4 linked regions of the Arabidopsis thaliana genome follow. The protein of the gene in region 4 interacts with the protein of the main gene of each other region in a pairwise test. Each region holds a gene or a part of one and is shown on either strand. Other genes may lie near its edges. The genes, in order: AT1G13520, AT1G66820, ACR6 and UPP.

Region 1 (7,962 bases), on a different chromosome or scaffold from region 4:
CGTTGAATACTTCATGATGCAGAGTGGTGTCATGATACAGAGAGGCGAAGACTTTGTTTATCTTATTTTAGAGACACTTGATGAGAGGTGAAATTAGGGTAGGCTAGGATCTTTAAGGAGATCAAGTAAGTTTCTTTGAAGTTTCCTACAACGAGCCATCCAGAAAAGTCAAGTCACCTTGTCAGTTGCTGTTCTACAGAGTTGTTTACTCTATAATATAGGATCAAGTTTTTCTCCAAGTCCAAAACTCGATTTAGTGAAACAATGTACATCACAAGGAGTTTCTCAGAGTACCGGAGGAATCCAGCAGAGCTAACACAGCCTCCTCCTGAGGGTCCAAATTCTGGAATTTTGGTAATCCAAGACCAACACTCACGGACACGGGCTACATCTTGCTTCGGCTCGTGGTTGGTTGTGGACTCTTCTCTAAGTGGTTTGCCATTGCCCCAAAATCTTAAGCTAGCAGTCACATTCAATATTGGAGGTGATGACAGCACTCGTGACCCAGTTGTGTTCATTCCTGTTCTTGATAAGCCTCTATCTTCAAACTGTTATTACGCTATTAAACGGCATGGGAAGCATTCAGGGTATGAAGTTTAATCCGCAAATCTGAAATTCTTGAATCTTTCTTCTTATATAACCTGAAAAAGTTTATAAAATTTTGGTTGCATTGCAGGGAAGCGTCTGGAAGTGCAAAAGAGGACGATATAGTCTCCTGCTGCTTTTGCTCTAGTTTTGTTCCTGAAGCCAAACCAAAACAGTTAGATCCTTTTGACATGTACCAACAATTCAAGATCCATCAAAAGGAGCCTTCCTCGCGTTGTTACTACGCAACATCTGTCGCTCCTGACGGGGTCCCACCATGGTTTCTGAGGAAAAAAGAGTGGACGGTTGAATACTCGAGGTTCCAAGACTTTGAACTGAGAGATGATGCAAAAGGACTCATCACAGAGCTTCGTACTGAGCTTCCTCTTCTTGGTATGAGCACTGTGGTTGGGAAGTGGTATGTCCCTTTCATATTCGTGAAAGAAAGAGAGGTAAAGGATCAGATCAAGAATTCGATGTATTACAGCATGACTCTTGAACAAAGATGGAAAGAGCTTTTTTCTGATGAGAACGACAAAAGCGAGAACCGTGATGTTGTCGTTGATGTAGAAGTAGAAACAGAAGTTGTTAAGCTTGAGGGACAAATGATTGAAAGAGGTCTGGAAGCAAATGGGTTTGTCTGGTTTGGGGTTGGAGACAAAAAGATCGGTTTAGGATCAGTTGTTGTTGAGAGGATGAAATGGGAAGAAGAGAGATTCGGGTGGACAGGCAAAGGCGACAATGAGCGATCAATGACAGTTAAGAGATTGGAGAAATCAACAGATGGTAGCCTTTGGAAGCATTATCATTGTTATGTTCTGATAGAGAGCTTTGTCTTGAAGAGAATGGATGAGAGTTTGGTCTTAACATATGAGTTTACACATGTAGATAAGCTCAAAACCAAATGGGATTAAGCTTATCACGCAACCAAATCTGCAAAAACTTTCTCAATCTCAATGACATGAATCCATTGGTCAGTGTGATTTATCTATAGCCATTTTCAATTCGGTTTTTTCCGTGTATTGTGTTTTGATATTATCTTCAATCTTTTTGGGTGAAGAAAGAATAAAATATAGAGTTTGTTTGTCTTCTTACTTGTTAGTACTCATCCACAGGAGATTCTGACAAATGTTTAAGTCAAACCTCAGATTATATTTATAAACAATAGCTTAGTAAACTTCCTTGCACGTTCTTATGATCCTTTGTTTTATATAAACGATGACAGGTTAGATCTTGAGTAACAAAGAATCAAGGAGAGATGTATGTAACAAAGCGTTTGTCCGAGTACCAGAGAAACCCATCGGAGCTTACTTTCCTTCCAACGGAAGGTCCAAACTCCGGCGTATTGGTGATTCAAGACGAAGAATCACAGCCTACATGCTGTTTTGGCAAATGCTTTGGTTGTGATCTCAATGGTTTGCCGTTTCCTCAGAACACAAGAGTCACCGTTAAATACCAAATCGGACGTTAGTTACTAGTCATTTCACTCCTAACTTTCTGTCAATCATTTTACTTTACTCTGTTTCTGTTTCTTCTCTGTTTATTATCTAAGCTTTGATTTCACCATAGATGGAGATGACAGAATTGTCTTGCTTGACTCGGTCGCGTTCATCCCCGTTCTTCACCAGCCTCCTTCTTCCAATCTTTACTACGTTATAAGGCGAAGAGGGAAACATGCAGGGTATGATTCTATTGAATCTTTCTCATGTTATGTAGATATCAAAGTTTATCGTTTTAGTTTTAATTAAGCCAAGATTAATAGTTTAGCGGCCTAAATTCACATCTTTTAAAACTTTGATTGGTATTGCAGAGAAGCATGTGTTAGTGCAAAAGAAGAGGACAAAGTTTCTTGTTGCCTTTGTTTTACTTATGTCTCTAATGCTACGCCAAGGCTTCTTGATCCTTTTGACATATACCAACAATTTGAGATACATCAAAGAGGCTCATCAACTCGCAAGTTTTTCGCTACATCTGTTGCTTCAGATGGAATACCACCTCGGTTCCTGAGGAGAAAAGGCTGGACCGTTCCTTTCTCTGCTTCCCAAGACTATGGTTTGATTGATGATGCAAAGGGTGTAGTTGATGCAAAGCTGCGCTATGAGCTTCCCGATTTCGGTAAGAGTGTAGTAGTTGGAAAATGGTATGTTCCGTTTTTGTTTGTAAAGGAAGGAGATGCTAAAGATCAGATGAAGAAATCGATGTATTATAGTATGACACTTCACCAAAGATTTGAAGAGGTTTTCTTCTGCGAAAACGTTGACAATAAAAATTGCGAGGTTATAGTTGATGTGGAGGTAGAAACAGAAGTGGTTAAGCTTGAAGGAGAAAATATTGGAAGAGAGACAAAAGGTGTGAATTCAGATGGAGTTGTCTGGTTTGGTGTCTCAGAGACTCAGAAGATAGGTATTGGGTCTGTGGTCTTGGAGAGGATGAAATGGGAAGAAGAGAGGTTTGGGTGGTCGAAGAAAGGCAATGAACTAAAGTCTAGCATTAAGAGAACTGAGAAATTTGAAGGCGGTGGACCACAATGGAAGAGTTATAGATGCTATGTACTGGTAGAGACCTTTGAACTGAAGAAAACTGATGGGAGTTTGGTATTGACGTATGAGTTTAGACATGTTGATAAGTTGAAGAGTAAGTGGGATTGACTTTATTTCAGCTTCTTTGTGTGTTATGTGTTCAATTTATGGTGTGTTCATTTTATTGAAAGGTTAATGCAAGTTCATGTGTTATGTGGTGAAGCTAACTTGCACAAAAAGGGTGTATACTCTAAAAGGAAAAAAACCTCAAAAGTTTTGTAATTATTTTGTAGAAAAGCATTAGCTAGTGCCAAAGAGTAAGACAGAGTCCCCTGTTTCTTTTGCTTCAGTTTCTTCCTGAAGCTAAGTCACAAGAAGCAGATCCTTATAGTTAGGTCAATCATAATATAAAGAAAATATAGAATTTGTTTGATTGATTCTCCATGATAGGTTTGTGAAACCAGGTCAAGGTCATAACTTTGGAATTCTAAAGTTTGAATTGAACCATAAAGTAAAAAAATTTGAAAAGTCTTCAAACGATAACTTGTAAAATTTGCTTACCGCGTTATCCTCAATACATGGTGCAATATATAAACATATCATATCTCTTCTAATCAATAACCTGATCAAGATTCTGAATTCAAGATGTATGTTACAAGGCATCTCTCCGAATACCAGAGAAACTCGTCGGACTTGACACGATCGTTGCCGGAAGGTCCAAACTCCGGCGTACTTGTGATTCAAGACGAAGAGTCAAAACCGACTTGTTGCTTTGGAAATTGCTACGATGGTGAACTCAAAGGCTTACCGTTCCCACAGAACGCAAAGCTGACTGTGACTTACAGAACCGGAACTGGTAATGACAGGCGCAGTTACCATGACCAGGTTCTGTTCATTCCGGTTCTTGATCAGCCTTATTATTCGAACCGTTATTATGTCATTAAACGACGTGGGAAGCAATCAGGGTATGGCCAAAAATCTTAATTACTTTCTTGACTTTGTTTTGTTTTTTTGAGGTTTTAATCAATTTATGTCATGCATGGTTCGAGATACTTGCTTTTGGGTTTGGTTTTCTTGGGATGGTTTCGGTTTGACCGGATTGGCCACCCCTTTTGACCTGACTTGCACAAATGGTATTCATTAAAAAAAAACTAATTTTGGATTGCAGAGGAGCTTCGGCGAGTGCAAAGGAAGAAGACAGAGTCCCCTGCTGCTTTTGCTTCAGCTATGTTCCTGAAGTTAAGCCACAAGAAGCAGATCCTTATGATATATATCAACAGTTCGAGGTCCATCAACGTAAACCATCATCAGGCTATTACACTGCCACTTCAGTTGCTCCTAATGGGATACCACCAGAGTTCCTTAAGAGAAAGTACTGGACCGTTGAGTATTCGAATTCCCAAGACTTTGGTTTGACAGATGATGCAAAAGGGATCAACACTACGCTTCGTTCCAAGCTTCCCAACGATATGAATACAAGTGTTGTGGTAGGGAAATGGTATGTTCCTTTCATATTTGTGAAAGAAAGAGATGCAAAAGATCAGATTAAGAGCTCACCTTATTACAGCATGACGCTTAAACAAAGATGGGAAGAGGTTTACTCATGCGTAAACGTTAACTACAACCAAAAAGGAGGAGAGGTTGTAGTTGATGTTGACGTAGAAACACAAGTGGTAAAGCTTGAGGGACAAGAAACTATTTCTAGAGAGACAAGTGGTGGTGGATTTGTTTGGTTTAGTGTTTTAGGGGATGAGAGACAAGACAAGAAGATAGGTCTTGGGTCTGTTGTCGTGGAGAGGATGAAATGGGAAGAGGAAAGGTTCGGATGGTTAAACAACGGTGAAAGATCTAACATTAAGAGATCAGAGAGATTTGAAGGCGGGTCATCGCATTGGAAGAGTTATCGATGTTTGGTATTGATAGAGAGCTTCGAATTGAAGAGAATGGATGGGAGTTTGGTGTTGACATATGAGTTTACGCATGTTGATAAGTTAAAGAGCAAGTGGGATTGAGTTTTTTATTCATCTTTGTTCAGTTTCTTTGTGTGTCATCTTTTGGTTCAATAATTAATTTAATGAATAAGTTTTATGCAATTTCATGTAGTAATTAAAAAAAAAAAAAAGTTCGCATTTAAATTCACGTAAATTTCAATTATGAATCATTTATTTGATCATTCTTCTTAAATGTTTTTTTTTTAATATTGTAAACTTGTAACCCTCATTCCAACAACTATGGCCCTCCATTTTTTTAATATAAATCAAGTTCTTTGAAAGTTGCTGATAACGTGTTTTGATTCTACTACCAATTTAAAAGTCTTCACATACGAGTTTAGACATGTTTATAAGTTGAAGAGAAAGTGAGATTGAGAGCTTTTCCAATTTGATTCTCATATCTCCATAATTTATTTAATTTTATGATGTCTCTTAAATTCTGCTTCAAGTTCTGTTTTTTGGGGGCTCTGTTTCAATACAAAACCTCTGTTCTGCAGATTGCTCAAATGAACAATTATGAAGTTAATGGTCATAATTTGGAACTCAAAGTAGATAAAAACTTAAGTTACGTGATAGAATTTAAAAACAATGTGATGTGAATTTAAAAACTGCCAAAAAGGACTTCCATAAAAGCTAAGTCAAAGATCTCGGAAAAGTCTTAAAAAACAATGTTGATTGAGCCGCTAGTGAGATTATTTTTTCTAGTGATTTGAGTCTTGTCTTGTAGGATTCTTGTTGCTTCTCTACCACAACTATATTTTGTAACTTTTGCTCTCTCTTATCTCAATTTCTTAAAGGTTTGAGATGGTAGAGTTACTTGACTTGTGAATTTTTTGGTTTGAGGGTGCCTTAGAAATTGATTGCGTTAGAATGGTTGGAGCGTTGAATACTTGACTGATGCAAAAGGTGTGGACAGAATCTTCATGATGCATGCAGAGTAGTGTCATGATACAGAGAGGCAAAGACTTTGTTTAAACTATTTTATAGATACTTGATGAGAGGTGACAATAGGGTAGGCCAAGATCTTTATGGAGATCCAGTCAAGTTTCTTACAACGAGCCATCCAAAAAAGTCAAGTCACCTTGTGTTCTGAAAACTTGTTGAGTCTATAAAATATGATCCAAGTTTTTCTCCTAGTCTAGATATAAACGATCACTCGATTTGGTTTACTCTTACAAAAATCAGTGGAAATGTATGTTACGAGGTGTTTGTCAGAGTACCAGAGAAATCCAGCAGAGCTAAGACAGCCTCCTCCTGAGGGTCCAAACTCTGGAATTTTGGTAATACAAGACCAACACTCACAGACACGTCCATGTTGCTTCGGCTTGTGTTTGGTTGTGGACTCGTATCTAAGTGGTTTGCCCTTGCCGCAAAATCTTAAGCTAGCAGCCAGATTCAATGCTGGAGAAGATGACGCTACTTGTGACCCAGTTGTCTTCATTCCTGTTCTCAATAAGCCTCTATCTTCAAACTGTTACTACGCTATCAAACGAGTGGGGAAGCATTCAGGGTATGACTTTGAATCTTGAAGATCTGAAATCTTGCATCTTTCATCTTATATAACCTAAAAAGTTTCTAAATTTGTTTTGGTTGCAGAGAAGCGCCTGCTAGTGGGAAAGAGGAAGACAGAGTCCCGTGCTGCTTTTGCTCTAGTTATGTTCCTGAAGCCAAACCAAAACAGCTAGATCCTTATGACATGTATCAACAATTCATGATCCACCAAAAGAAACCATCCTCGCGCTACTACTACGCGACATCTGTTGCGCCTGACGGAGTCTCACCATGGTTCCTTAAGAAAAATAAGTGGACAGTCGAATACTCAAGGTTCCAAGACTTTGAACTGAAAGATGATGCAAAAGGACTAAACACAGAGCTTCGTACCGAGCTTCCCGGTCTTGGTATGAGTGTTGTGGTTGGGAAGTGGTACGTCCCTTTTATATTTGTGAAGGAAAGAGACGTAGAGGATCAGATCAAGAGATCGATGTACTACAGCATGACTCTTGAACAAAGATGGGAAGAAGTTTTCTCTTATGAGAAGGATAAAAGCCGAAACTATGATGTTTTAGTTGATGTAGAGTTAGATACTGAAGTTGTTAAGGTTGATGGACAAGAGATTTCAAGAGGTGTGGAAGCAAATGGGTTTGTCTGGTTTGCGGTTGGAGACAAAAAGATTGGTTTAGGATCAGTTGTTGTTGAGAGGATGAAATGGGAAGAAGAGAGATTCGGGTGGACTGGCAAAGGCGACAATGAGCGATCAATGGTAGCTAAGAGATTGGAGAAATCAACAGATGGTAGCTTGTTGAAGAATCGTCATTGTTATGTTCTGGTAGAGTGCTTTGTCTTGAAGAGAATGGATGAGAGTTTGGTCTTAACATATGAGTTTACACACGTCGATAAGCTCAAAACCAAATGGGATTAAGCTTATCACGCAACGAATCTGCAAATGCTTTCTTAATGATAATGACGTGAACTTCCATTGGTCAGTGTGATTAATCTACGTACAATTGTAGTATTTGGTTATTATCTTAAGCTTTTCTATAAAATATTGAGTTTTCTATGTCTTCTAAGAACTCATCCACAGAAGATTCTGTCAAACTTCAGATTGGTTCAAAGAAACAATTATACTTATAAACAATAGCTTGCACGTTCTTATGATCTTTTCTCTTATATAAACGATGACATGTTGAGCAACAAAGAATCAAGGAGAGATGTATGTGACAAAGCGTTTGTCTGAATACAAGAGAAACCCATCGGAGCTAACATTGCTTCCGACAGAAGGTCCGAACTCCGGAGTATTGGTCATTCAAGACGAAGAATCACGGCCTACATTGAAATGCTGCTTTGTCAATTCCTTTGATTGGGAACTC
Region 2 (6,154 bases), on a different chromosome or scaffold from region 4:
ACCTGTGGAACTCTTTGGACTTAAAGGGCTTCAAAGCTTGGTGCTTTCTGGAAATTCTTTTTCCGGGTTTGTCCCAGAAGAGATTGGTAGCTTGAAGAGTCTAATGACTCTGGATCTTTCGGAGAATTCTTTCAACGGTTCGATTTCTTTGTCGCTTATTCCATGCAAGAAGCTGAAAACGCTTGTTCTTAGCAAGAACAGTTTCTCTGGAGATCTTCCAACAGGGTTAGGTTCTAACTTGGTTCATCTTCGGACACTGAATCTTTCTTTCAATCGCTTGACTGGAACGATCCCCGAAGATGTAGGAAGTCTGGAGAATCTGAAAGGTACACTTGATCTTTCTCATAACTTCTTCTCAGGTATGATTCCAACAAGTCTTGGAAATCTCCCTGAGCTTCTCTATGTCGATCTTTCTTACAATAATCTCAGTGGTCCGATACCAAAATTCAACGTTCTGTTGAATGCCGGTCCAAATGCTTTCCAAGGGAACCCTTTCCTCTGTGGATTACCGATAAAGATTTCTTGCAGCACAAGAAACACACAAGTAGTTCCTTCTCAACTATATACAAGAAGAGCCAACCATCATTCTAGACTCTGCATCATCCTTACAGCCACTGGAGGCACAGTCGCCGGAATCATTTTTCTTGCTTCATTATTCATCTACTATCTCCGAAAAGCATCGGCTCGTGCAAACAAAGATCAAAACAACCGAACATGTCATATAAACGAGAAACTGAAGAAGACGACAAAGCCAGAGTTTCTCTGTTTCAAGACTGGGAATTCAGAATCTGAAACGCTAGATGAGAACAAAAATCAACAAGTTTTCATGCCAATGGACCCGGAAATCGAATTTGACCTCGACCAGCTTCTAAAAGCCTCGGCTTTTCTTCTAGGGAAGAGCAGGATCGGGCTTGTGTACAAGGTAGTTCTTGAAAATGGATTAATGTTAGCCGTTAGACGATTAGAAGATAAAGGTTGGCTACGGCTCAAAGAGTTTCTAGCTGATGTCGAAGCAATGGCGAAAATCAAGCACCCTAATGTCTTGAATCTCAAGGCTTGTTGCTGGTCTCCTGAAGAGAAACTCCTGATTTATGATTACATACCAAATGGTGACCTTGGTTCTGCAATTCAAGGTAATTTTAGTGTCAAAATCGCATAAATCTATGACCATAGTTAAGATTCAAGACTGATTCATAAAAATTTATGACAGGTAGACCTGGTAGCGTGTCATGCAAGCAACTAACCTGGACGGTCCGGTTAAAAATATTGAGAGGAATAGCAAAAGGATTAACTTATATTCATGAGTTTAGTCCCAAAAGGTATGTCCATGGACATATAAACACAAGCAACATACTTCTAGGACCGAATCTTGAACCGAAAGTATCCGGTTTCGGTCTAGGTCGTATCGTCGACACGTCTTCAGATATCAGATCAGACCAAATCTCTCCCATGGAGACAAGCTCACCAATCCTCTCTAGAGAATCATATTACCAAGCTCCTGAAGCAGCTTCAAAAATGACTAAACCGTCTCAGAAATGGGATGTGTATTCATTCGGTTTAGTGATACTCGAAATGGTAACCGGAAAATCTCCGGTTAGTTCAGAAATGGATTTGGTTATGTGGGTTGAATCGGCTAGTGAGAGAAATAAACCGGCTTGGTATGTTCTTGATCCGGTTTTAGCTCGTGATAGAGATTTGGAAGATAGTATGGTTCAAGTCATCAAGATCGGTTTAGCTTGTGTGCAGAAGAACCCAGATAAAAGACCACACATGAGAAGTGTATTGGAGAGCTTCGAGAAATTGGTAACTTCTATTTAATTATTATTAATTAATGAAAAGTAATAATTTTAATTAGATTATGTGTTTACTTCATAATTTTCAGATTACTTCATAAATTTCATGTGATAATTTTTATGGTTTTTCTGTTAATCATTCATAATTGTGATATTATTATGAAAAATAAAAGGACACAAGGGAGGATATTTTTATTGAACTTATATAATTAACAAAACTGTTAATACAGTACAAAATTAACATAATGCTTTAAAAATCTTTTACCCAAACCCGACCCGGAATTATGAACCGGAGCTTTTTTTCATAGGTCAAATCTCTCTTTGATGTCATCGAAACTGTACCCGCCGCCAACTCCAAATCCGTATCCAAACCCGAACCCGATACCACAACCAATACCGAATCCAAGAACCACGTTAGAATGGTCAAGTCCTTCAGAGGCACCTATTCCGAGCCCGCCGGAGAGACCAATGCCGATTCCAGCGCCGCAGCCAATGCCGCCGCCGATTCCGGGACCGACGGTTGTTGTCTTGATGTTATCGATTTGTGTACGGAGGAATCTGGTAACCGGAAATTCTGATTTCCCGGTTTTGACGTCTGGTTTACGGCTCCAGAGTTTATTAGTTGATCCCATTGGTTTTGTGATTGGGCAAATGACGATCACTGAATTGTGAATTTATGAGTGATGAGAAAATCAGATAAGATTTGAGAAAAAAGATGAATATGCGTTGAGGTATTTATTGGGCTTATTGTCGCATATATTGGGCTTTAACCCATTTAAGTCTCTACAGATTCTCTCCTATTTATCAGTTTTTTTTAATGATAAAAGATACACATGAGATACAAATTCTTCAAGAAAATGTTAAATACAGATTTGGATTAAGTTATATGATATTTTGTTTTTAAAATGTCGTAGAAAGGGTAAGAAGGTAATTTGGGCAGGGTTGTTGGGTTAGAAGGAAGGAAACATTTTCTAGTTAGTTAGCTACAACGAAAGATTTTGATTGAAGTATATTACACATAGGAAAGAAAGAGGGACCATAGTTAGTTAAAGTTGTGCTCTTTAAGCAAACAAAACTCACATATATTCCTTACCTTACTACGGTCGTTAACAACATGAAACTAAACATACATGCATATATCAAAAAACCAATTTAATCATCAATTCATTAACTATTCTTATTCATGATTGGCCCAACCAAACTTAATAAAATGACCTATTCTTCTTTATTTTTGTTTCTTCAAACACACCAATACATACTTCCTTATTCTCCAAGTTACAAACAAAACCTCCCCTCCTAACAAACTTTTTGTTTCCATCTATTTTTTTTTTCAAAATAGATTTTTGCTTGAGGTTCATATTTATATACTTGCTTAATGAATATATTATTAATGTTTTAAGCTATTAAATACTCGAACTAGTAAACCTCCTTTGGGATGGAAGATGCATGTTATTGACTAAATATGATCTACCAAATGGATTTAACATTTTTTATGGTGAATATTGTCACTATAATCTTAAGCTTAAGAAACTATACAGCAATATAAATAGAATATTAAATTTTGTTCTCACTGTATGTGTAAAACTAAACACTAGTTTTGTTGTTGAAGTTATCTAAAAAACAAATAATATTCTGTTACATAGAAATCTTTAACGGTTCTGAAGTTGGCGCGAAAGTGAAAGTAGGTGAGAAATATTCCTCTACACTTCACTTAACCATGAAGAAGCAATTCGTTATCCAATTAAATACACTCGCTTCTCAAACAGATCCTTAAATAATCTCATCGTATGGTCTAGATTAAGTAGCGTAACAATCTTCTCGTAGTCTCTCCCGCATATTATCTTTCTCTCTTTCTTCTTCCTCCTCACCTCTCTGGTTCTCTCTATATATATATATATATACAGAGCATCGTTCATATCTTAATTTCACCGCTCTTTCTCTTTCGCTTCTCTGAGAAGTTTCAAAGCTAATTCAGGTACTCTCTCGCTCTTATTATCTTCTCTGGGAAGTTTCAGTTTCCGATTGTGATTTTGTAGATCTAAACGGATTCAATTTTGTCAATTTCTGTGTTATCTTCTTCAGGAAGCTTTCGAGAAATTGCAACAATGGAGAAACTCGCGGCGTCTACTGTTACAGATCTAGCTTGCGTAACGGCGATAAACTCATCGCCGCCTCCACTATCACCGATCTCTGAACAAAGCTTCAACAACAAACACCAAGAAGAGTTCGCCGCAAGCTTCGCATCACTCTACAACTCAATCTTCTCACCGGAATCTCTCTCTCCTTCTCCTCCGTCCTCTTCCTCACCACCATCTCGCGTCGATACAACTACAGAGCATCGTCTTCTTCAAGCGAAACTTATCCTCGAGTACGACGAACTCAACGAGCATTACGAGCTTTGCCTTAACCGTCTTCAATCTCTAATGACGGAACTTGACTCTCTTCGTCACGAAAACGATTCTCTCCGCTTTGAAAACTCAGATCTACTCAAACTTATTCGTATCTCTACTTCATCCTCCTCCTCCGTCTCTCCTCCGGCGCCGATCCATAACCGTCAATTCCGTCACCAGATCTCCGATTCTCGCTCCGCGAAGAGAAACAATCAAGAGAGAAACTCGTTGCCTAAGAGCATCTCCGTCAGATCTCAAGGATATCTCAAGATCAACCATGGATTTGAAGCGTCAGATCTCCAAACGAGTCAACTCAGCTCTAACTCGGTAATTCTCACTGTAATTTTAAAATTTAAAATTTGTTTTTATTTGATTAATGACGTCATAAATGTTTTGTGAAGGTGTCTTCTTCTCAAAAGGTGTGTGTAGTACAAACAAAAGGGGAGAGAGAAGCATTAGAGCTTGAGGTATATCGTCAAGGGATGATGAAGACGGAGCTTTGTAACAAATGGCAAGAGACTGGAGCTTGTTGTTACGGCGATAATTGCCAATTCGCTCACGGAATCGACGAGCTACGTCCTGTGATTAGGCATCCACGCTACAAAACTGAGGTTTGCAGAATGATGGTCACCGGAGCTATGTGTCCGTACGGTCACCGTTGCCATTTCCGTCACTCACTTACTGATCAAGAGAGGATGATGATGATGATGCTTACTCGCTGATCTGGAGAAGAAGAAAGGTCATTGAAAAAGGGTAATAATTAGTGGTTGTGTACAGATTTCAGATTTGATACCTTATAAATATCGTAACTTTTCTGGGTAATGAATTGGGAAGAAACATATTTGCTTGCAATAGGAATAAGGAAGGGAAAGATGTTAAGTAAATGTTTGATAGGATTATAGGAATATAATTAGGGATGGATAAGAAAGGAGAATTGAAGAAATGTGTGGTTCTCTTTTATACTTCGAGATGTTAATTCTTTTGATATGTTGTTTGTATTCTCTTGGATTAAGCAGGAGAGACTTGAAAAGGATGTTAGATTCAACAAAGATATGAAATTTATATTGATAAAGTTTTCTACTTTGTTCATAAGTATGCAACTTTCTTCCCTAAACTGTTGTGCTGCTATAGTTTTTCTCTTTCTAATTGCTGCAGTGGTGGTAATACATTCATGGGAAAAGATTGATTTGGTTTGTTGGTTATCTTGGTTTGTGTATTTATGTGTAATCTCTGCTTACTGGCTTTCAAGTTTCTGTTTTGCTGATAAACATAGACTAAGATCTTAGGATGGGCATGTGTTAGTTTATGTCGAACTGTGTGTTTTGCTGGTCTTACCATTTGGAGAAGAATGCAGTGATTGTGTCGGATGATGTATTATGTCTCAAGTTGTTCTGTTTATGGTTGGCAAGAGAACAGCAATTTTCTCTGCAGAAAACTGTTTCCTGACGATTTTGTGACTAGAAGTTGTAACTAGTTTGTTCCTGCCGTCCGCTAAAGAAAACTTGGTCTAAGTCATAGGATCTGTATTGTATGACTGTATGTATTAGTTGATCTAAAACTACTTGTTTTGCTAAAATGGTTTCAACTTACAAGGTCGATGAAGTTTGTAGAATGTCATTGGGCTACTTACCAGCTGGAAGATACATTGTGAATCTTTAAGAGTAGGAAGATCGAGTTGGGTTAGATTTGCCTTTCATATGGAGGATTCTTTGTCTATTGGTTAAATTTGGTACTAACAGTGGTATTAACTGGTAACGTTACCAGTATATGTTATATTGCTTTTTACTATATTAGACTGTTTTCGATATCAGTATGCTTGTTTGATAAGCTAAAGTAAACTGTTGTGCCTTGAAATCTAGGTTCTGGAAGGTCAAATACATGCAATTTGACCATTTTCGTTTTAGAAAGAGTGTTTCTTTAGAGAAAGATTAAATTTTACCACTCTCTCAGATTTAAACAGTCTTTGGGTAG
Region 3 (9,442 bases), about 20 Mb from region 4:
TTTCCATTCAATGGGTTCGGAAAAAAGTGAAAGTGTTGAGATTAAGGAACCGTTATTTTATCCGTGTTTAATAAATTTTGTGTAACTAACTTTTTCGTATAACTTTTGAAAAGAATCAAGAAAATGTGGATAAGTTTCGATTTATGTAAGAATGTGAATTAATTTATTCGTGAGAGATTAATATAAAGAAATTCACAAGCGAATAACATTATCTTCGTGCGGTATTGTGGCGGCGGTAAATTAAAACGCAACAATTTGAGTTTGATAATTATTACGAAAGACTTAATTAGCTAAATCTGTAAAATAACATTATCTTCGTGCCGATGTCATCAAAACACTCTAGAATAGAAAAGGAAGAAAGCATATCTTTTGAGAAGATTCTGACTGTTATGTGATCTATATATATTCTGTTGCATATTTGCTTTTGTGTTAAATGGTCCAATGGTATAATCCAATAATATCACCATATTCCGGATGACATGGTCCTTGGTTCTTTTTGTAAAGATTTGGGCTTGTTGGGCTGACTTGACATTATGAAAAACACGAGAGCCCAGGCTAATGGGCCTAACAAAGAAAGCGTCCTCCGTTCTAAAGCGAAACGTGAAGCATATTCGCAATTGGATCCAAGAAGAAACCTCAAAGTTAGCTTTCGTACTCTTTCTCATCTTCATCTCCACAATATCCTTAGCTTGTCACTAGTTTTGGAATAATCGGTAGGTTTGGGATACATAACATTGTTTTTGTAGATGATAGACTCATCATTGCTTCTTTATGTTTGGTAATTTGATGATGAATATACTTTCGATTACAGGGCAGCCGAGACTAAGACACCAAAGCAGATGGATTCAAAGGTCCCATAAAGACAAAGATAAGGATTAGTATTTTTGAGATATGTGAGTTGCTGCTAGTTTAAAAGTAAAGGTCTGATGGTGTGAGCCCAACGTTTTTGGGAAAGTAAATATTACAATCCAATTCCTCTAATCATTCCTTCAAGCAAAAGGGAGGGAAGATGTGCATTTGTGTCAAGATGTGGTGGAAATTATCAGAGGGTTTATCAACGGCATGTGTATGAACACCTTGGTATGTCGTCACCACCACTCCTTCGTCTCCCCATTGCCTCTGCACTTGCTTCTTCACTCTGCATCCTTCTTCTGTGCACTTATAATAGCTCCTATATATATATATATTCATATTTTACATGTATGTATATGAGTCTCTTATTTGATCACCATAGCAAGCATACAGTATCATTCATTGATGATTAAGTACGTACCTGGGGAATGGATTGTTCTTGACTGCTTTTTGGCCGTACTTCCTCCACCTGTATCCATCATCCAGTATATCAACCTGGCTTCTTGTCTGGAACGCGTACCTCGCTTCTCTCTCTTTCTTCTTCTTCTTACTCCTTGGCTTCTCTTCGGATGATGTTGTCGGCTGAGCAGAGTTGTCGACCCCATGAAACTCTGTCAAGCGAGGATCAACCGATGATGAACATGGAAACAACACATCACACCTCCTATCCTCCATTTCTTAACTCCCTCTGCGTTTATGGTGGGAACTTGAAAAAAGCCAAGGAGGGGAGGGAGAGAAAGAGAGACGTACACGGTAGCGAAGATGCCAGAGAAAGTGATATATATTGAAAATATGGCTACATTAGCGGATCCATCACAGAAAAAGAGTTTTGTGGAAACAAAAAGGTGTGGCGGCTACATCATTCTGATTTATATTATTATATATGCAACTCCTTCAAATTTTGGTTCAATGGATTCAAATTTCAAACATATTTCTTGGTCAAGAATCAATATGCATCTAGATCTCTGAGGTAATCATTCTTTTCTTATTTGATTTACAATTTGGATTAGCAAGGTTTCCAAGATAATATCCAATATCACGTGTATTTGAGGTTCACCTACCAAACTTGATTGAATTCAATAAACAATGAGCTCGAATGATGTTGAGATTGTTGACTATTTTGGCTCTTTGCTTTCTTCTATACTTGTCAAAAGTATATAATCATTGATTCCATGGATTATTCATCCCTCCATAGTTATTCAAACTTGATTCATATTCACTTTTTACACACAACATAGAATTATAATAATACTAGGCATTGATCACATGTAGGATTTGAGACGGGGTCGCGTAAGGGACTGCGCTCCATCCACCAAGACAGTGGTGCCTGTCATGAAGCGTGAGCCATCGCTGATCAAGTAGATAACAGTGGAGTAGAGGTCTGTGTCCGGGTTGAGCCACTGGCCGAGGGGTGCAGCGTCCTTGACCAGCTTCTGCGCTCGGTCTCTTCCCACAGAAGCTGTATACTCATCATCCAGATGCAGCCCTCTAGAGATCATGTTGACCCGTATCTTGTGCTTCCCGAGACTCATGGCTGATGCCTGAAACCCAATCATCAACAAACATATTCAAGTTACGAACGCGATGTGTCTAATTAGGAGCTAGGATGCATACCCGGACGAGCTGGTGAATAGCGGCAGAAGTTGAAGCGTAGGCATCAGCGCCAGGGTAAAGCGCCCTCTCTCCGCTGGCGATAGTGGCCATGAAGACAATGGAGCCTCCTGATCCATGGTCCTTCATCCTTGTGGCTACAGCCTTCAAGAGAAACCATGGAGCGGTGAGATTGATCTTTGTGATTCTGTGGAACTCATCTTGAGAGACTTGAAGAATGTCCTGCACCTTTCCTGCAAGAAAGAAAGATTGTTGAATAAAGGAATGATCAACACACAAGAGCATCAAAGGCAGGGTAGTGAAAAACAAGAAGCAAATTAAACCTTGGTAGGTATAAGAGTTGAGAAAAGCATCGAAATGGCCGGAAAGTTCCCATGCCTTTTGGACAGCGGCATGAAAAGCAACTTCAGAGTCAGATTCCATGTCGAGTGCTATAACATCGGCAGGGAAGGCTCCCTCAATGGAATCTCTAATCTTGTCTACAATGCTCCTTAGGGAACCCTCATTTCCCATCATTACCAACCTAGCAACAGTACATTGCATTTTTTGAAGGTTAACTATAGACACCAAAGTCAACCACAACACAAATCGGGGCTAGAAGAAGAAACACAGGATAGGAGGAAAGAAGACAAAATGAGAGACTCACTTGCAACCGTGTTTGGCTAGATGGAAAGCGATGTTTCGGGACACCTCGTCGCCGTTGGATGTCATCAACACTCTCTTCGCCGGATTTTCCATTTTGCCAAAGTAACTCTTTATAAAACAATTCAGCAGATTCAACAAGACTTAAGGGAGGGAGGGAGTGAGATTGATTCGATCGCCAATTCTAAATAACTATAAAGAGTGGCTGCAAAAGCTCTTACCGGAACTGTGTCTGTGTGTTACCAAAACGGCGAAACAAAGCAAATAATTAATGCCTAACCACATGATCCACCACGTTCTGTTGTTACCTTCTTTAATTTGTAGATAGAAGAAGATGGTGATTGATAACGGAGATGTATTTTTTTCTTTAATAAAAAGCCCACTTCAAGGCCCAGATCCATTTCTGTACTTTGTAGGTTTTCCAACTTTCCCGGCGCCGGAAGCAAGCGTAAGTTATCACTGTTCCCCAACCAAATTCCATCATATCCTATTATCCTACTACTAATGGATCCATCTCCAAGATTCCTAATTTCACTTTGCTACAAACTTATTTCGTGTTTTTGGTTTATAATTAATAGCCGTTGTTGGTTATGAATATGTAAGCATAAAAGGCATTTGGGAGCTCCAGACAGACAATGAATCATCAACATCAGGTACTCTGTCTTTCGTTTATGTTTCTGTTCCATTCTTTTGAAATATATAGAGGAGGAACTTGTTATTAGCTAGTCCATTGATCAACACACAAAGAGTGAGAATGAAAGCAATTCCTCCAACCAAAAGGATGCTTTCCCTTATTGATTTAGTTGGACCAATATATAAAGAGAACAAAGGAGGGTGTTGGTAGGTAACAAAAGATTCTAGGTGGTGGGAGGGTAGTGGATTTTTGAAAACCGTGTGTTGACTTAATGAAAGAGGTGTAGAGTAATGGGATTGTGAGAGTGTTAAATAATAAAAGACTAGGATACGAAATCATTGTGACATGTCAATTTTTCAAGTGGGTGGTGGAATCCGCAACAAAATATAAAATAAGAAAAATGCTTTGCTTGCTTGCTTGCTCTACTTTGCCTTCTTTTTGCAACCAACATGACGTTATGCTGGAAAGGAATCAAATTGTTACTTGGTCATGCACCTGTGAACGTTACGGAGAGGTCTACCTCAAGATAACGAATGATCTATTATACTAGTAAATACCACATCTTGCTTGAGAAGGAGAATATAATCCCCTTTATGATCATCAAATTGACCCCAAATCTTCACCCGACTTTTGGTAGTATTCGAACAATTATAACAGAATCTAAAAGTTGCTGTGCCCGTGCCACGTCATCTCTAAGAATCTTTAGTGGCACGTGCTCGATCAACTAATGAAAACAAGGTTCGGTTCCGGTGGCCTACCATTTTTATCCTCCTTCAACTTCCCTCTCCCTCTCTCTTTTAGGAATTTTCCTCAGAAATTGGAGGACTCACACTCTTCTGGGTTTCTGCTGCAGCCAAATCACCAAGGAGATACATACTACAACCATGGATGATGATGAATATGCCAAGCTCATCAGGAGAATGAATCCTCCCAGGTTTTTCTCTTTCTCTCCATACTCTTTTATTGTTTTCTAGGTCCTCTGTTTCTCCATGCTCCGTTTGTGAGCCTCTATACCCTTGTAAAGATTCCAGCTGCTAAAACATTCATCTTTATTTATGTATGTTTCATGGTGGATACAGAGTTGTAATAGACAACAACGCAAGCGACGATGCCACTGTTATTCAGGTAAATAAATCTGTCTCTTCAAATTGTTCAAGTGGTTCTGTACCAAACAAAGAGATTTTGAGAAAACAGAGTTCCCTGTTTGTTTGTGGTGCTAAATAAAAGGTTGATAGTGTGAACAAACATGGGACTCTATTGGAAGTAGTACAAGTGCTCACTGATATGAATCTTGTGATCAAGAAAGCTTACATCTCTTCCGATGGAGGTTGGTTCATGGACGTTTTCAAAGTCATCGACCAAGATGGCAATAAGATCAGAGACACTCAAGTCCTTGACTATATCCAAAAGGTTTCTAATGTATTTCATCACTTTTTTTCTTTCATTTTCAACAGGTTTTTTTCTTTGTGTAAAACGTTTGTTGAATTCATTGCGCAGAGGATAGAGAGCAACGCTGGGTGGTTCATTCCACCTTTGAGAAGCTCAGTTGGTGTAATGCCCACTGACGAATACACATCCATTGAGCTCGCTGGAACTGACAGACCCGGTCTCTTGTCTGAAGTATCTGCTGTTCTCACAGACCTTCACTGCAACGTTGTGAACGCTGAGATATGGACTCACAACACCAGAGCTGCAGCGGTTATTCATGTCACGGACAATTCAACTCATTCTGCCATTACTGACCCGATTCGCCTTTCCACCATCAAGGAGCTGCTGTGCAATGTAGTGAGGACAAACAGCGGCTCAAGAGCTGCGAAAACAGTCTTCTCTTGTTCTGATACACACAGGGAGAGACGGTTGCATCAGATCATGTTTGATGATAGGGACTACGAGGGAGTCAAAAGAGCAAGGACATCGGCGTCAAGGCCCAGTGTCACACTAATGAACATTGAGAAGGATTATACCGTTGTTACCATGAGGTCCAAAGATAGACCAAAGCTTGTGTTTGACGTAGTCTGTACTTTGACTGATATGCAGTATGTGGTGTTCCATGGCATGGTCAGCACAGAACCAGTGGAGGCTTATCAGGTAACTACTCAACGGCCGTCTGTTGGGATCTCTCTTCTAACAATAATATGAGTGTTTTGCTGCAGGAATTTTACATCCGTCATGTGGATGGACTTCCCATAAACTCAGAAGCAGAGCAAGAACGTGTCATACAATGTCTGGAAGCAGCCATTGAGAGGAGAGCATCGGAGGTAACCAATTAGGAATGTGAAAATTCTCTGTCTTGGCTCAAATTACATTCTGTTCTGCATCGATTTCTGATATACTCAAGACAGATTGTGCATATGAAACATACTTTCAGGGTTTAGAGCTGGAATTATCAGCAGAAGACCGAGTTGGTCTTCTCTCAGACATAACCAGAACATTCCGAGAGAACAGCTTAACCATTGTGAGAGCAGAGATATCAACGCGAGAGGGTAAGGCTAAAGACACGTTCTACGTTACAGACGTGACTGGAAACCCGGTTGAATCAAAAATCGTGGAGTCAATCAGACAACAGATAGGAGTAAGCAAGCTGAAGGTGAAGAAGAAGGAGAAGGAGCATTGCTCTGTTCTTGGTACAAGCAGGCCTTCGCACGAAACAACTACAATGGGGTATTTGCTAAGTAACATCTTCAAACCCAAGTAGCTTCAAGCTTCACCTATCTCACTCATAGTCATAGAGTGTGTGTGTGCTTTGTATAGGTTAGACAGAGTAGGGCATCATTTAAGCTGATCGTAGCGATCCCCTCTCAACAAGTCCCTTGTGTGTAAATTTGTGTGAACAAAATAACAGGAACTGCCTTTGAATAGATACGGCGTCAGTTAATACCGTTGATTAATGGATCCAGGGGACATTAATAAAGATGCAAAGTGTTTACTATTATGATTTAATGAGAGCATTCGAAAGATCAATAAGAGATGAAGAAGAGGAAGACAGAGAAAGGTGAGCTTAAAACAACTCTCTCTCTAATTACAAACTATAATCTAAAACCTGTCATTACAGCCATTGACTAGTTTCCTAATCTTCCTCCACCACATTCTCTTACAAGAAAACTTCAAATAGAAAAGAAAAAAGAAAGCAGAGGAAGGGATCAGAGCCAGAGAGCGCCGGCGTCTTTGAGAAGAGGAACGAGAGAGCCGTTTATGTGAGAAGCCATGACTCTGTCCATAGCTCCAACCAGTTTACCGCCGATGAAGACGACCGGGAGAGACCCTGGAGAAGAGGAGCCGGAGCAGCCGAGGAGACGAATGAGGGCTCGCTGGATGTCGCCGCCGTAGGGGTGGAGGTCGAGCTCGTGGACGGCGGGGCTGACGCCCATTCCTCTGAAGAGACCCTTCACGGCGTGGCACATGCAGCACGTGCTCACGCTGAAGATCACCACCGCGCTCTCAGAAGCCAGGGACTCTATACGAAGCAGACCAGTGTCAGCCACCATCCCCAAACCGCCGAATCCTAAGCTGCTCATCTTGTATGATCCCCACGATTCTGTCTGGTATTGCATCTTTGATATCTCTTCTCTTTCTCTTGTTACACTTTTGTTTGGAAAGAAACTAGATTAAACACGAATAAGAGAGAAAGAGGGATTGGCTAAAGTTTGTTGGTGAGAAGAGAGTGAGAGCCATGCAGAGTATTTATAGAGGCCTACTACACCTCTGAGTCTAACTCTGTTTTCCTCTAATTATTAGTATTATTGTTTCTTTCTTTATTATTTGTGTATAATAACATGACCTCTATTTACTTCTCCATGAAAAAAAGAAAAAAAGTAACAAAACATATGAATTAAAACCGATGACATCAAGATAGTGATTGCTGTTGAAAACAAACACCGATAATAGTTATCGGAATAATTTCATTTTTTTGTAAAAAAAAAAAAAAAGGCAAGGAGAGTTGAAGAACAGGCTTTTATCAGAAGGGAGTTGTTGGTAATAGACGGCTCCGTCTGTCCTTCTTGTCGGCTCTTACCGCTCTCACCATTAATTTTCTTACCACTTAATTCTCTCTTTTTCTTTCTTTGTATTTTCAGATACATGATCATAAAGTAAGAAACCATAATTTCCACGTAGATAAGCTCCCTCAATCTGTACAATATGGATTTTGGCAGGGTTTTTCTTTTATTCCATTCTACTCTGTAAAATATATAATTCCATACGACCGAGTAATCATCAATCCAGCAAATGTGTAATCATCACATCATAATTTGTTAAGGAGTCAGAATCTTATGTTTCTTATCCAGATTAATAGCATCCTCCTTATATATATAGAAAAAGAATTATGACTCGAGAATTATGATGTGTACATATTTTATAAGAACAGCACCCATGAATTAATTTGGATGGGTTTAATTATAACAATATTAAAATTTGAACAATTTTATATAGAAAAAGCCTTTTTTTTTTTTCTTCAAAGTTTACAAAGTTTGTAGTTTGTGACATGCTTTTGGCTTCCACGCTTGTGTCCTTTATACACGAAATGCCTTTTTTGTGTGTCTCAGGTTTGAGCTCCACAATAAATTAAATCTTAAAATGAGATTTAAAACGAAGGATTGATGGAAGAGAAGATTTTATATGTATATTGAATATAGTAAGAGAAGTCCGTACAGTTATGCTCCCTCTAGCTGAAAAAGAAAGTTACTTCTTTTAGTGTTTAAACTCATGTATTTCTTTTCTGGAAAAAAATCTTTGCATGAGAAATCGTAAAAGATAAATAATCTTGTCGGATTGTGGTTGTCGGATCGCTTTACCTTTGATTTTTGATTTTTTTTTTAAAAATCTAGTTTTCCTGACAGAAGACTTACGTAACACTTGTCATACAATGTTTGATCTGTTCAACCGATTCTCCGATATTAACCCTTTCGAGTAGCGTATGTACATGCTTTTCAATAAGGGTATTTTGAACATTTCTGAAGTTCGTATTCAACGCCTGAAACTTGAAACTTTGAACATTCCTTATTCCTTTGTATATTGATCTAGCTCTTTTCTGTTTTTGGCTTTTTTTTTTATTCTTCAAAGTTTAAATATGTATATACAAGGCTAACATTATACAAAACTTTAAAAATCTTTCGTTTTATGATTATCAATAAAAAGATGATTTTCTTCTTGTAAAAAAAAACATTTTAGAGAGAAAAAGAAAAAAAAAAAAGAGATTTTGATCGATCGGACGGGTAGGGTTAGATGGCAGGAAACGAGAGCCCTCTGGCCTATATTAATTAGTACAACAAAATATATAAATTGATATCAAAATAAAAAATAGAAAGAATACGAGCGTGATGCTATCTTTTCAGCTTTATCTGGTCTTTGCCATTTATAAATATCTGTGTGTATGTCTCTCTTTGCACAATATTAATGTTGTGCTTTGTTATAAATATATCTTCATTTCATATTTTTATATTTTCAAATTTCGTTTTTTTTTTACCTCTTACGGTGAAACAAAGCCGATAGGGAGATGAAAGGTGGGGTTTGAACTAAACCCTAAAATAAGCTTTAGAGAGTTCTATCGTCGAAGTATAATGGTCCGAGTCTGATTCCAACACCTGACCAAGATATGTCCCTACGGGTTATAAAACAATGTATATATTATATATATACAAACAGCTGGCTCATATATATCTGTAATACACTGATACAGAGGAAGGTACATATCTGTGCCTATGTATG
Region 4 (8,975 bases):
TGTTTATAATAGTAACATTGGAGATCCTCGAGTGTAAAATGTCTTGTACGGGGTTGTAAACTTATATAGTTATATTACAGTGAAAATAGATATTGTACAAGTTATAAAATCCTAACCACTTGGATAATCTACACATCCTTCGATTACTTTTACAATATAGCTGTATCAATTATCTTGCATTTGTGCAATTATTATATTGAATTTCAATTGAACCAATTATAAAATTTATTATGTAATTTAGTATTATATATTTTATCAATTATAAACAATTCATACTTTTTGCTATTATATATATAAAAAAATTTTAATTTTTAATTTTACTAATTGAAAAAGATTATATCTAACCACCTAACGACAACTCCTTTCTCGGATCAAGTTTTTTCTTGGTTCTTCTTTTCTCGGGGTACTTCCTCTCGGATTCTCTATGTCTCTTAACTCGGTCTAACCCGCTAAAGCTTAGCTCACATGCGGGTCATAAAATCCGATTACCTTTTGCGAAGTATGACCGAGAGTTGAAAGAAATTCGGATGTTCCTTAGAAACTCGGACCGTGAGTCCTTCTTTCTCGTTTAACTTGGAGTGTTCAATCGTCGGGTTGGAAGTGAATCGGATGATAATCACCTTCCTTCTCGTCTTTGTCCTCCGTTTTAAGTTTTTTTTCTTCCGTGAATTCTTTTTTTCTCTTCCTCTTTCGCGGGACTTAACATTTCGAGTTATCTCCGATCTAGGCTTCCCGATCTTTCACTTCAGCATACGCTATGATATCGTTTCTAAAGTCACTCATTCGTGCTCTGGACGGAGATGATGACGTCTTCGATTTTGCTTTTGTGGCCTCTTCGGTCACCGAGCTCCCTTATTTTGCTACGAGGACAAAGATTGGGAAGAAGAGAATTGAGGAAGTGATAGATTCAGATCTTCAGGGACTCGCCAAATACGAGGAGAGAGCGATTAAAGCTATCAAGCCGAGAGTGAAAGTTACCATTGAGAAAGACATCACTTTGCTACAGAGGGTAAGTGAATCTTTCTTACATCCACAAGACATGGTTCTATGTGTGTTGTTTCATCTTTCTCTAGACTTTTGTTGCTATTTCGGTTTACAAACTTTTGATTGTGGTTTGATCTTTCTCTAAACATTTTTTGCTGTATTTGGTTAAAGACTTTTGAGAATCTTCAAACAGGGCTTAGGACTTCTTAATTGTGCCTGAATTCTCAGACAAAGAATCCGTGTCTGGTTTGTACAGTTTCAGAGATTTGTTACAAAAACTGATGAATGAGTTGAAGAGGAGAAGAGTTAAGGAGTCTAGTCTAAATAAGTTTTCAAGTTTATTGTAATAGTAAAACCTCTATAAATTAATACTCGATAAATTAATAATCTATATAAGATTAATAATTTTTTCCAGTCCCGAGTTGGGACTGTAAAAAGTGACACAAATTGATAAATTAATAAAATAATAATTTTTTTGAAAATCCTATGTAAATATATGATCCCATCAATATTATAAATTAGTAATTGTATAAATATAAAATATATATATATCTAATATATTATATGTAAGAAATTTCTAATATTTTTTTGCTTAAACTCGTATTTGTTCTTATTTGAATTTAGTTATAATATTTTACTGTATCAAAACTTTTGATATTGTTTTATAGACATGATAATTATTTTTTACTTGCAATTGGTTTTAGAAAGATATTCTCTATGATGAAAAATATCTTGTAGAAACTTTTAAAAAGTTACTACATTAGAAAACTCTCTATGTAAATTAATAAATTATTTATTAATTTATTCCTTAATTTGTAGATTTCTGTTTGGAAAGAAATTGCTAAAAATTAATATAAAAGCCCAATGGGCCGTGTAATAAGTAGACCCAAAGTTATTCGGTACAGTAGTGACGACCGGTTAATCTTCGCCCGCGCTATCGTCATTGCAAAAATCTCGAACCAGATTCGGACATCTCGTCGAAAATGGCGTGCTCAATTGGTAACGCTTTCAGGTGTTCTTCTGATACGCTGCGTTTTGCTCCCCGACAACAATGCAGCAGCCGCCTAAACCCTAATCCTTCCTCTTTCCTCTCCTTTAATTCCTCCCCAATTCTCGCACAGGTATCGAGTATATATATATATTTATTCTAATGTCCAAAGCACACTTTTCCAGTAACGCCTTTTGCATATTCAAACTGAATTTTGATTTTCGAATTTCTGGATTATTTTAAAGAATTTGGGTGCTTCTTCTTCGTCACTTTCCCGACGGACTATACGAGCTAGAACAAAAATGGCTGCGTCGGAGGCTTCCATTAACGGGAGCAACAGGATGCTGGTAATAAAACTCTAGGATTTCAATTTTCAGATTTTTTTTGAGTTTGATTTGAAAGTGAAAGATGTGAATTTGATTCTGGTGTTTCAGGTCTTTGTGCCACCACATCCTTTGATCAAACACTGGATCTCTGTTCTGAGAAATGAACAAACTCCTTGTCCTGTTTTCAGTGAGTAGATAAGATTCTTATGAGTATTTCTGCGATTTAACCAGTGTTTGTTGTTAAAGAACTGAATTTTACATCCATTTTTTTTTTTTTTTTTTTTGATTCGTTGGACAATCTTTAGCTCTTAGATTGGTGTTATCTGCTACATTGCGTTTGAATATGAGTTTTTTTAGGTTTGCTACTAGTATAAGTCTGTGTTGATCTTTAAAGCTTGAGTTTTTTTAATTATCTAGGGAATGCAATAGCTGAACTAGGGAGATTACTCATGTATGAAGCATCACGAGAGTGGCTGGTGCGTAGAATTTCACATCTCTATTATTCTTGAATTCTTCCTACCCGTTTTTTGCTTATTGTTTTTTGTTTTTTGCTCTATGCGGTTAAGCCAACTGTTGTGGGTGAAATAATGTCTCCAATGGGTCCTGCTTCTGTTGAATTCATTGATCCTAGAGAGCCTATTGCGGTTTGTTTATCCCTCAAACTCTTCCTGTCTATATTTTCTTTTCGACCTTACATGTAAGCGTTTCTAATTCTTGGTTTTGTCTCTGTGTAGGTTGTTCCGATATTAAGAGCTGGTCTTGCTCTTGCGGAACACGCATCCTCAGTTTTACCTGCTAATAAAATTTATCATTTAGGTTAGTAATCTAGCTATATATCATCTCTTGCCTGAACTTCGGATGTCAAAAATGAAAACTTTTATCAAATAGCTTATTGATGTCCCCGTGCTTCTTTTCTTTTACAGGAGTAAGTAGAGATGAGAAAACACTTTTACCATCGGTGTATCTTAACAAGTAAGAACTTCTCTGCAGCATTGTGTTTGTAGTTACTGAAGTGTTTATAATAACACCTTTGATACATCTTCTTTAGGTTGCCTGATGAATTTCCCAAGAATTCAAGAGTATTTTTGGTCGACCCAGTGCTTGCCACAGGTAAGAAAGTCTTATCATTTTAGCCACCTCCATATTAGAAGTATAGTTAGGGTTTGATGTTCAAATGTACACGATAATATGTGAATGTGAACGCATGACATGGTAATACGAATGTTTCATAGCTAGAAGCGTAGGTTTAGTAACTTAGTAACTTGTATTTTAGGTGGTACCATAATGGCGGCGATGGATCTATTGAAGGAACGTGGTTTGTCTGTTCAGCAAATCAAAGTGGTAAGCATATATATAGGAAACAGCTTTTGTCAGAAATCGAAGTGTTAATTGTTTTGATTTTTCTGATTACAGATTTGTGCGATTGCTGCACCTCCTGCACTATCGAAGCTTAACGAGAAATTCCCCGGGTAATCAATAGCAAAAGATCAACTCTCACCTTGCTTACCATTTAGTTAACTCTCTTTTTACTAAACTGTTTGGCTACTATTTGAAACATTTCAGGCTTCATGTATATGCTGGAATTATTGATCCTGAAGTCAATGAAAAGGGGTAAGTCATTAGGTTCTTTGGCTTTCCATATGAAAACTGGCGATTGTATTTTAATGTCCTTATGTATTTGTCATGAACTAGGTACATAATCCCTGGGCTTGGAGACGCTGGAGACCGCAGTTTCGGGACAGAAACACATTGGGTGAAGTGATACTTGTATGAGTTGTTAAACTTTAACAGTCACAATCGTTAGATTATATATTGTGTCTCTTGTACTTTGTTTTTGATGTGTGATTTCAGGTTCTTGAGAGGGTTTCGATAAAGAGTCAAAATTTCACAAACAAGAAAAACTGAATTCCTCATTATTACAAAACAGAGAACAAACTTGTCAACCATTTTATGTGTATCATTCTCAATTGTCTACCACAAACCATTTTGGGAAAAAGTATGCAAGAAAATCTGAAAAATTCATCCATGAAGCAAACATTTGAACCAATAATAAAAGTTTGTTATCAAATTGAATGAACTTAAGTTACTACCAAACTGAACCAGTATTTATGGTTTGGTTACGTTCGATTCCGGTTACAATTAACTGTCGGTACAATTCTGGTTGAAAAAGTTTAGTATTTCGGTTTGATTTAATTTTGTATACCGCTCTAATTGGATCGGTTTTTATTGCTCTTCAATTAAAAGTTGAAGGGTATAGTAGTCATTCCTATGAAATAAGCAAACCCTAGCTCGCTACTATAAATCTAATAAACCTATGAATTAAGCAAACCCTATCTTTGTCGCCGCCAAACCTCTCTCAGATTCTTCTTCTTCCTCGCAGGTGAGAATTTCTCCGTAGTATCTTAATCTCCTTTCACTGTATTGCTAATTAACGCATCGGAATAATCTAGGTTTCGATTTCAGAATTAGTTATCTCGTTGTGTCTTTTGTTGATTATATATTATTGTTGAATGTGATCAATTATTCTTGATGAATCTCTTAATTCGAGGTTCTATTGCTCATCTGATTAGTTTTTTTGTTTGTTTACTTGCTCAGATCGATTTTTTTTTGAAGCTAAATCTCAAAAATGGAGAACGACGCAGGTCAGGTCACAGAGCTCTACATTCCAAGGAAATGGTATATATCAGCTCTCTTTGTTCTCTGTGTAACGTTTGATTAAAATCTTAAGCTAATTGTCTTAATTAAGTAGCCTAAGCTGATTCTATTGTTGTGTAATGGTAATTTGTTTAGCTCGGCAACAAACAGAATGATCACATCAAAGGATCATGCTTCAGTTCAGCTTAACATTGGTCATCTTGATGCTAATGGTCTCTACACTGGCCAATTCACCACTTTTGCTCTCTGCGGATTTGTCCGTGCTCAGGTTTGTGAATTTCCACTCTGCTAATTACTTTATAATCATCTCCACAGTTGTTATAACAAAGTTCATGATTGTATATGTATATTGACATTATGATTGCATCTGCAGGGAGACGCAGACAGTGGCGTGGACAGGCTCTGGCAGAAGAAGAAGGTCGAAGCTAAACAACAGTGAGAGACAATCTGACAATGTCATAAGCTCTTGTTTGTTTTTTGAGGTTTCGATTTATTAGCTATGTGGCTTTGTCATTGAATTGAAAATGTTAGTTTCTCTTTATGCGAATTCATGTTTTCGATTTTTCTGCTTTATTAAAGATAATTATTAGGCTTTGAGGCCAATGGAATCAGATTCTATCTACAGTCTAATACTCGTCTATATTTCTCTTTCAAATATAACTGTTAGATTATCTATCATCAACCTCTCGGATTAGTGATTTACTGTATGAACATAAGAGATTGTTAATATGTCTGCAAAATCCTACTTTTATTGAAAATTGAATCGTTTACACATTCTCGATCAAAGCTTAAAGCAGTGGAACTTTGTTCTTTTTCAACTTTAAAATTCAACAAAAGACATCTTTTGATTCAGATCTCACCATCCCAAAGCTCTTCAAGTGTTTTATAAGGACTCAACGTCTCATGAACAAACGACGTGCCTTGGACTAACCTAGCCTGCACAGAGATGATTCAAAATCCAAAATACAAGAGGTTACAGTTAAGACTACTCACAGATACGAAATTTGCAGAAATGTGGTTTATTGTTTCACTTACCTGCTCTATCTTGGAAAACTTGTCAAACATTTCTTTTGGAATAGACCATCCCAAGACATCAAAGTTCTCTCTGATTCTTCCTTCATTTGTGCTTTTGGGAAGTATACTATGACCCATTTGAAGTCCCCATCGAAGCGCGGTTTGTGCGGGAGACTTCCCGATTTCTTTAGCAATCATTTCAATAACCGGACTCTTTAAAACATCGGCCTTCACCCACGTTGTTCCAGGAGATCCCAATGGCGAATATCCCTGCCACAATCAACATTCACGAAGTGTATATAAATATGACATTCGGACTCATTAAATGATTTGGAAATGTTTAGTGTTTTAAAACTTACTGAGAGGTGGATCCCTTTGGACTTGCAAAACTCATGTAGCTTATGTTGTTGCCATGAAGGATGACATTCCACCTGGTTTACAGCGGGAGGAACACGAGCAGCCTCCACAAGATCTGAGAGTTTCTTTGTAGAGAAATTACTTACGCCAATGGCTCTTGCCTTGCCTGAATCAACCAGTGCTTCCATTGCTTTCCATGTGCTCGGAATATCGATAGGCATAATGTTCTCAGGCTTAAAGTCAACAGTACCTTTCTTCAACCGAACAGGCCAGTGCATCTTGAAAAAAATATCAAATGAAACAAATCAAAGTATAAGCAAGCATATGTATAGTTTCAAATCCAGAGATCCGGACAATTCAGGCTAGATATTGAAGAAAGGAACGGATCTTGAAAACTGTTAGAACTTATTAAAAAATCAGCATTTGTTCAAAGAAGTCGTGCTTACGAGATACAAATCAACATAATCAAGCTGCAGATCCTGAAGAGTTCTGTTCAATGCGTCCTGTACATCCGGAGGGTCAAGATCAGTCAACCTGTGCTTGCATAATTTGTAGATTTTAATAGGTTAAGAGGCTTAAGCAAACGAGGGAAACTGAAAATGCATAAAAATGATAGAGATGCAGAAACTTCATGAACAAAATACCAGATTTTTGATGTGATGAACAGCTTCTCACGCTTCACTACGCCATCATCAAACAACTTCTTCAGAACTTTCCCAATCTGCAGGTTAAAAAAAGCTTTCAATTTCTCCATCAAGAAAAACAAAAAGCCACATTTCAAATGAACTTGTAAACAGTCTATAACAAATAACTCCATTAATCCTACATAACTTAAAGCTAGTTTAAGAAAAAGATACACAAGACAATGTGTGCAATTGTCATTCCTAAATATAAATTGGTTAACCTTAGTAAGAATTACATAAAACAGCCAATCGAGTAAGAACGATCATACTATATACTGTTCTATATAAAGGCAAATCAAGTAACGAGCCGTCAAAAGATGAACTATATGAAGCAAACTATGGAAGATACAGATTCGGATCGGTGAATTTTACCTCAATTTCATTGCCATATCTTGAAGCACAATCAATATGCTGATATCCAATCTGCAGAAAACGAAATGATTATTAAGTTCTTCTGCTACTGAAACGAATTTCCAAATCAATCCGTAAATCCCAAGATCAACCAATATTGAGGGAAAAACCAAACTATGTAAGGATCAGAACATCTAATCAAAGATCTCTAAGGATCAGTCAAATGAGAAACCATGAGACGGAAAATCACAGAAGAACCTTCACAGCGGCGGCGACGGCGTCTCCAACGACGCCAGGAGCAGCTTGCCATGTCCCGAGACCAACCGATGGGATCTTTGCTCCGGTGTTGAGTTGGAAGAATCCGATTTCGTCCGCCATTGTCAGAGCTTTAGAAGTGAGACTTAGATCTCGAGAACCTTTTACGAAAGACGGAGGAGGTTTGTGTCGACGGAGCGGGAAAATCGTCGGAGTTTTATAACAACAGACGGTTAGTATTCAAACACGTGGATATAACTAAACGCAAATACTTGTGTTTTCATATTTCATGTGATGAGAGTAATTAGTAATTAGTAATTACGATTAGTTAATTCGATGGATGTACCAAAATTTGGACAAACTGGTCTTGTAATATTACGAATTAATTCAGAATAATTTGCCAAAGAGAGAATGATTTATGAAACTAAAAAGGGCTTTTTCAACAATGGAAACTTGAGATAATTTTCGAATAAGAACAGAGGAAACGTGTCTGATTCGAAGATACGAGAAGCTATAATCTGTCAAAAGAGCAAGAACAGTTGAAAACAAAATCACATCGACTAGTACAAAGGATTCTTTTAGGCGACTGGGATCATCGCAGGGTAATCTACGGCTGTGAGTGGTGCATCTGCTACGAGAGCAGCCGGGGCAGCAACCTGAGCAGGTGCATAGATGGCCTCTTCTTCTTTAGGAGAATGAATGATCACAACATCAGGCAATGGTGTCTTTGGTCCTGATATGCCCTTAGGGTCCCAATCAAGCATAACCTTCACCTTGATTCCCAACACACCCTACATATTCGGTTTAACAACACTTTAATTAGACGTTGTTGATTTTTTACTTAACTCTAATAAGAACAACTCAGACGAAACTCACTTGTCTAAGCAAAACATGTCTCACTGCAGAGTCTATGTATTCCTTAGTTGGTTGACCAGATGACACCATGTAGCCATCTTTGAACTTCATAGACTTGGCTCTGGCAGCACGAAGCTTTCCACTCACGATAACCTCGCATCCCTTAGCTCCACTCTCCATAACAAACCTCAACACACCATAGCAAGCCCTATACAACATATAACCATTGCATGAGAACTTAAAGTCATTACACTTAGAAGCTAGACAATACCTATTTGAAACCATACAGAGTCTATAAGAACAATTACTCTATACTAAACATACAACTATAACGATCGGTGAATGCTTATATACACTAGTAACCTATCCAAATCAGTCTCTAATGATAAACTAAACTGATCAAACAAAGTAACATAGCAAACGAACTAGAGAAATGTCGTACCTACGAACAGCGAGACCACCAAGAAGCTTGTAACGTAAAGACTCAGCCTGAGCGATGGCACAGAG

What was found.
Region 1: the proteins of UPP (region 4) and AT1G13520 interact in a two-hybrid assay, tested with the Arabidopsis thaliana proteins (one large-scale study listed by BioGRID).
Region 2: the proteins of UPP (region 4) and AT1G66820 interact in a two-hybrid assay, tested with the Arabidopsis thaliana proteins (one large-scale study listed by BioGRID).
Region 3: the proteins of UPP (region 4) and ACR6 interact in a two-hybrid assay, tested with the Arabidopsis thaliana proteins (one large-scale study listed by BioGRID).

The regions. Positions count from the first base shown.
Region 1 is NC_003070.9:4,629,011-4,636,972, reverse strand, and holds AT1G13520 (hypothetical protein (DUF1262)), read left to right. Parts: upstream 1-3,673; 5' UTR 3,674-3,749; coding exon 3,750-4,069; intron 4,070-4,272; coding exon 4,273-5,116; 3' UTR 5,117-5,340; downstream 5,341-7,962. Other genes in the region: AT1G13540 (hypothetical protein (DUF1262)), read left to right, coding at 265-587, 677-1,499; AT1G13530 (hypothetical protein (DUF1262)), read left to right, coding at 1,844-2,051, 2,155-2,266, 2,396-3,233; AT1G13510 (hypothetical protein (DUF1262)), read left to right, coding at 6,286-6,605, 6,692-7,514; AT1G13500 (hypothetical protein (DUF1262)), read left to right, coding at 7,804-7,962.
Region 2 is NC_003070.9:24,926,364-24,932,517, reverse strand, and holds AT1G66820 (glycine-rich protein), read right to left. Parts: upstream 2,632-6,154; 5' UTR 2,426-2,631; coding exon 2,096-2,425; 3' UTR 1,891-2,095; downstream 1-1,890. Other genes in the region: AT1G66830 (Leucine-rich repeat protein kinase family protein), read left to right, coding at 1-1,133, 1,211-1,818; AT1G66810 (Zinc finger C-x8-C-x5-C-x3-H type family protein), read left to right, coding at 3,899-4,510, 4,585-4,905.
Region 3 is NC_003074.8:325,633-335,074, forward strand, and holds ACR6 (ACT domain repeat 6), read left to right. Parts: upstream 1-4,466; coding exon 4,467-4,477; intron 4,478-4,504; exon of another isoform or gene 4,505-4,592; coding exon 4,593-4,673; intron 4,674-4,818; coding exon 4,819-4,864; intron 4,865-4,966; coding exon 4,967-5,149; intron 5,150-5,236; coding exon 5,237-5,827; coding exon of another isoform or gene 5,828-5,878; exon of another isoform or gene 5,879-5,892; coding exon 5,893-5,997; coding exon of another isoform or gene 5,998-6,009; exon of another isoform or gene 6,010-6,081; coding exon of another isoform or gene 6,082-6,107; coding exon 6,108-6,434; 3' UTR 6,435-6,490; coding exon of another isoform or gene 6,491-6,521; 3' UTR 6,522-6,879; coding exon of another isoform or gene 6,880-7,290; 3' UTR 7,291-7,430; downstream 7,431-9,442. Other genes in the region: WRKY45 (WRKY DNA-binding protein 45), read right to left, coding at 982-1,171, 1,274-1,527; AT3G01980 (NAD(P)-binding Rossmann-fold superfamily protein), read right to left, coding at 2,115-2,393, 2,467-2,986, 3,110-3,201; ROXY1 (Thioredoxin superfamily protein), read right to left, coding at 6,880-7,290. UniProt on the Arabidopsis thaliana protein: May bind amino acids.
Region 4 is NC_003074.8:19,951,999-19,960,973, reverse strand, and holds UPP (uracil phosphoribosyltransferase), read left to right. Parts: upstream 1-1,898; 5' UTR 1,899-1,967; coding exon 1,968-2,105; intron 2,106-2,124; exon of another isoform or gene 2,125-2,217; coding exon 2,218-2,319; intron 2,320-2,406; coding exon 2,407-2,485; intron 2,486-2,715; coding exon 2,716-2,774; intron 2,775-2,864; coding exon 2,865-2,942; intron 2,943-3,032; coding exon 3,033-3,114; intron 3,115-3,221; coding exon 3,222-3,270; intron 3,271-3,346; coding exon 3,347-3,408; intron 3,409-3,571; coding exon 3,572-3,639; intron 3,640-3,711; coding exon 3,712-3,767; intron 3,768-3,861; coding exon 3,862-3,909; intron 3,910-3,990; coding exon 3,991-4,060; 3' UTR 4,061-4,384; downstream 4,385-8,975. Other genes in the region: AT3G53910 (malate dehydrogenase-like protein), read left to right, coding at 528-549, 750-1,009, 1,074-1,118; AT3G53890 (Ribosomal protein S21e), read left to right, coding at 4,925-4,974, 5,089-5,221, 5,327-5,392; AKR4C11 (NAD(P)-linked oxidoreductase superfamily protein), read right to left, coding at 5,803-5,889, 5,989-6,237, 6,327-6,602, 6,771-6,858, 6,969-7,045, 7,380-7,430, 7,617-7,736; AT3G53870 (Ribosomal protein S3 family protein), read right to left, coding at 8,192-8,404, 8,490-8,676, 8,911-8,975. UniProt on the Arabidopsis thaliana protein: Uracil phosphoribosyltransferase (UPRT) that catalyzes the conversion of uracil and 5-phospho-alpha-D-ribose 1-diphosphate (PRPP) to UMP and diphosphate.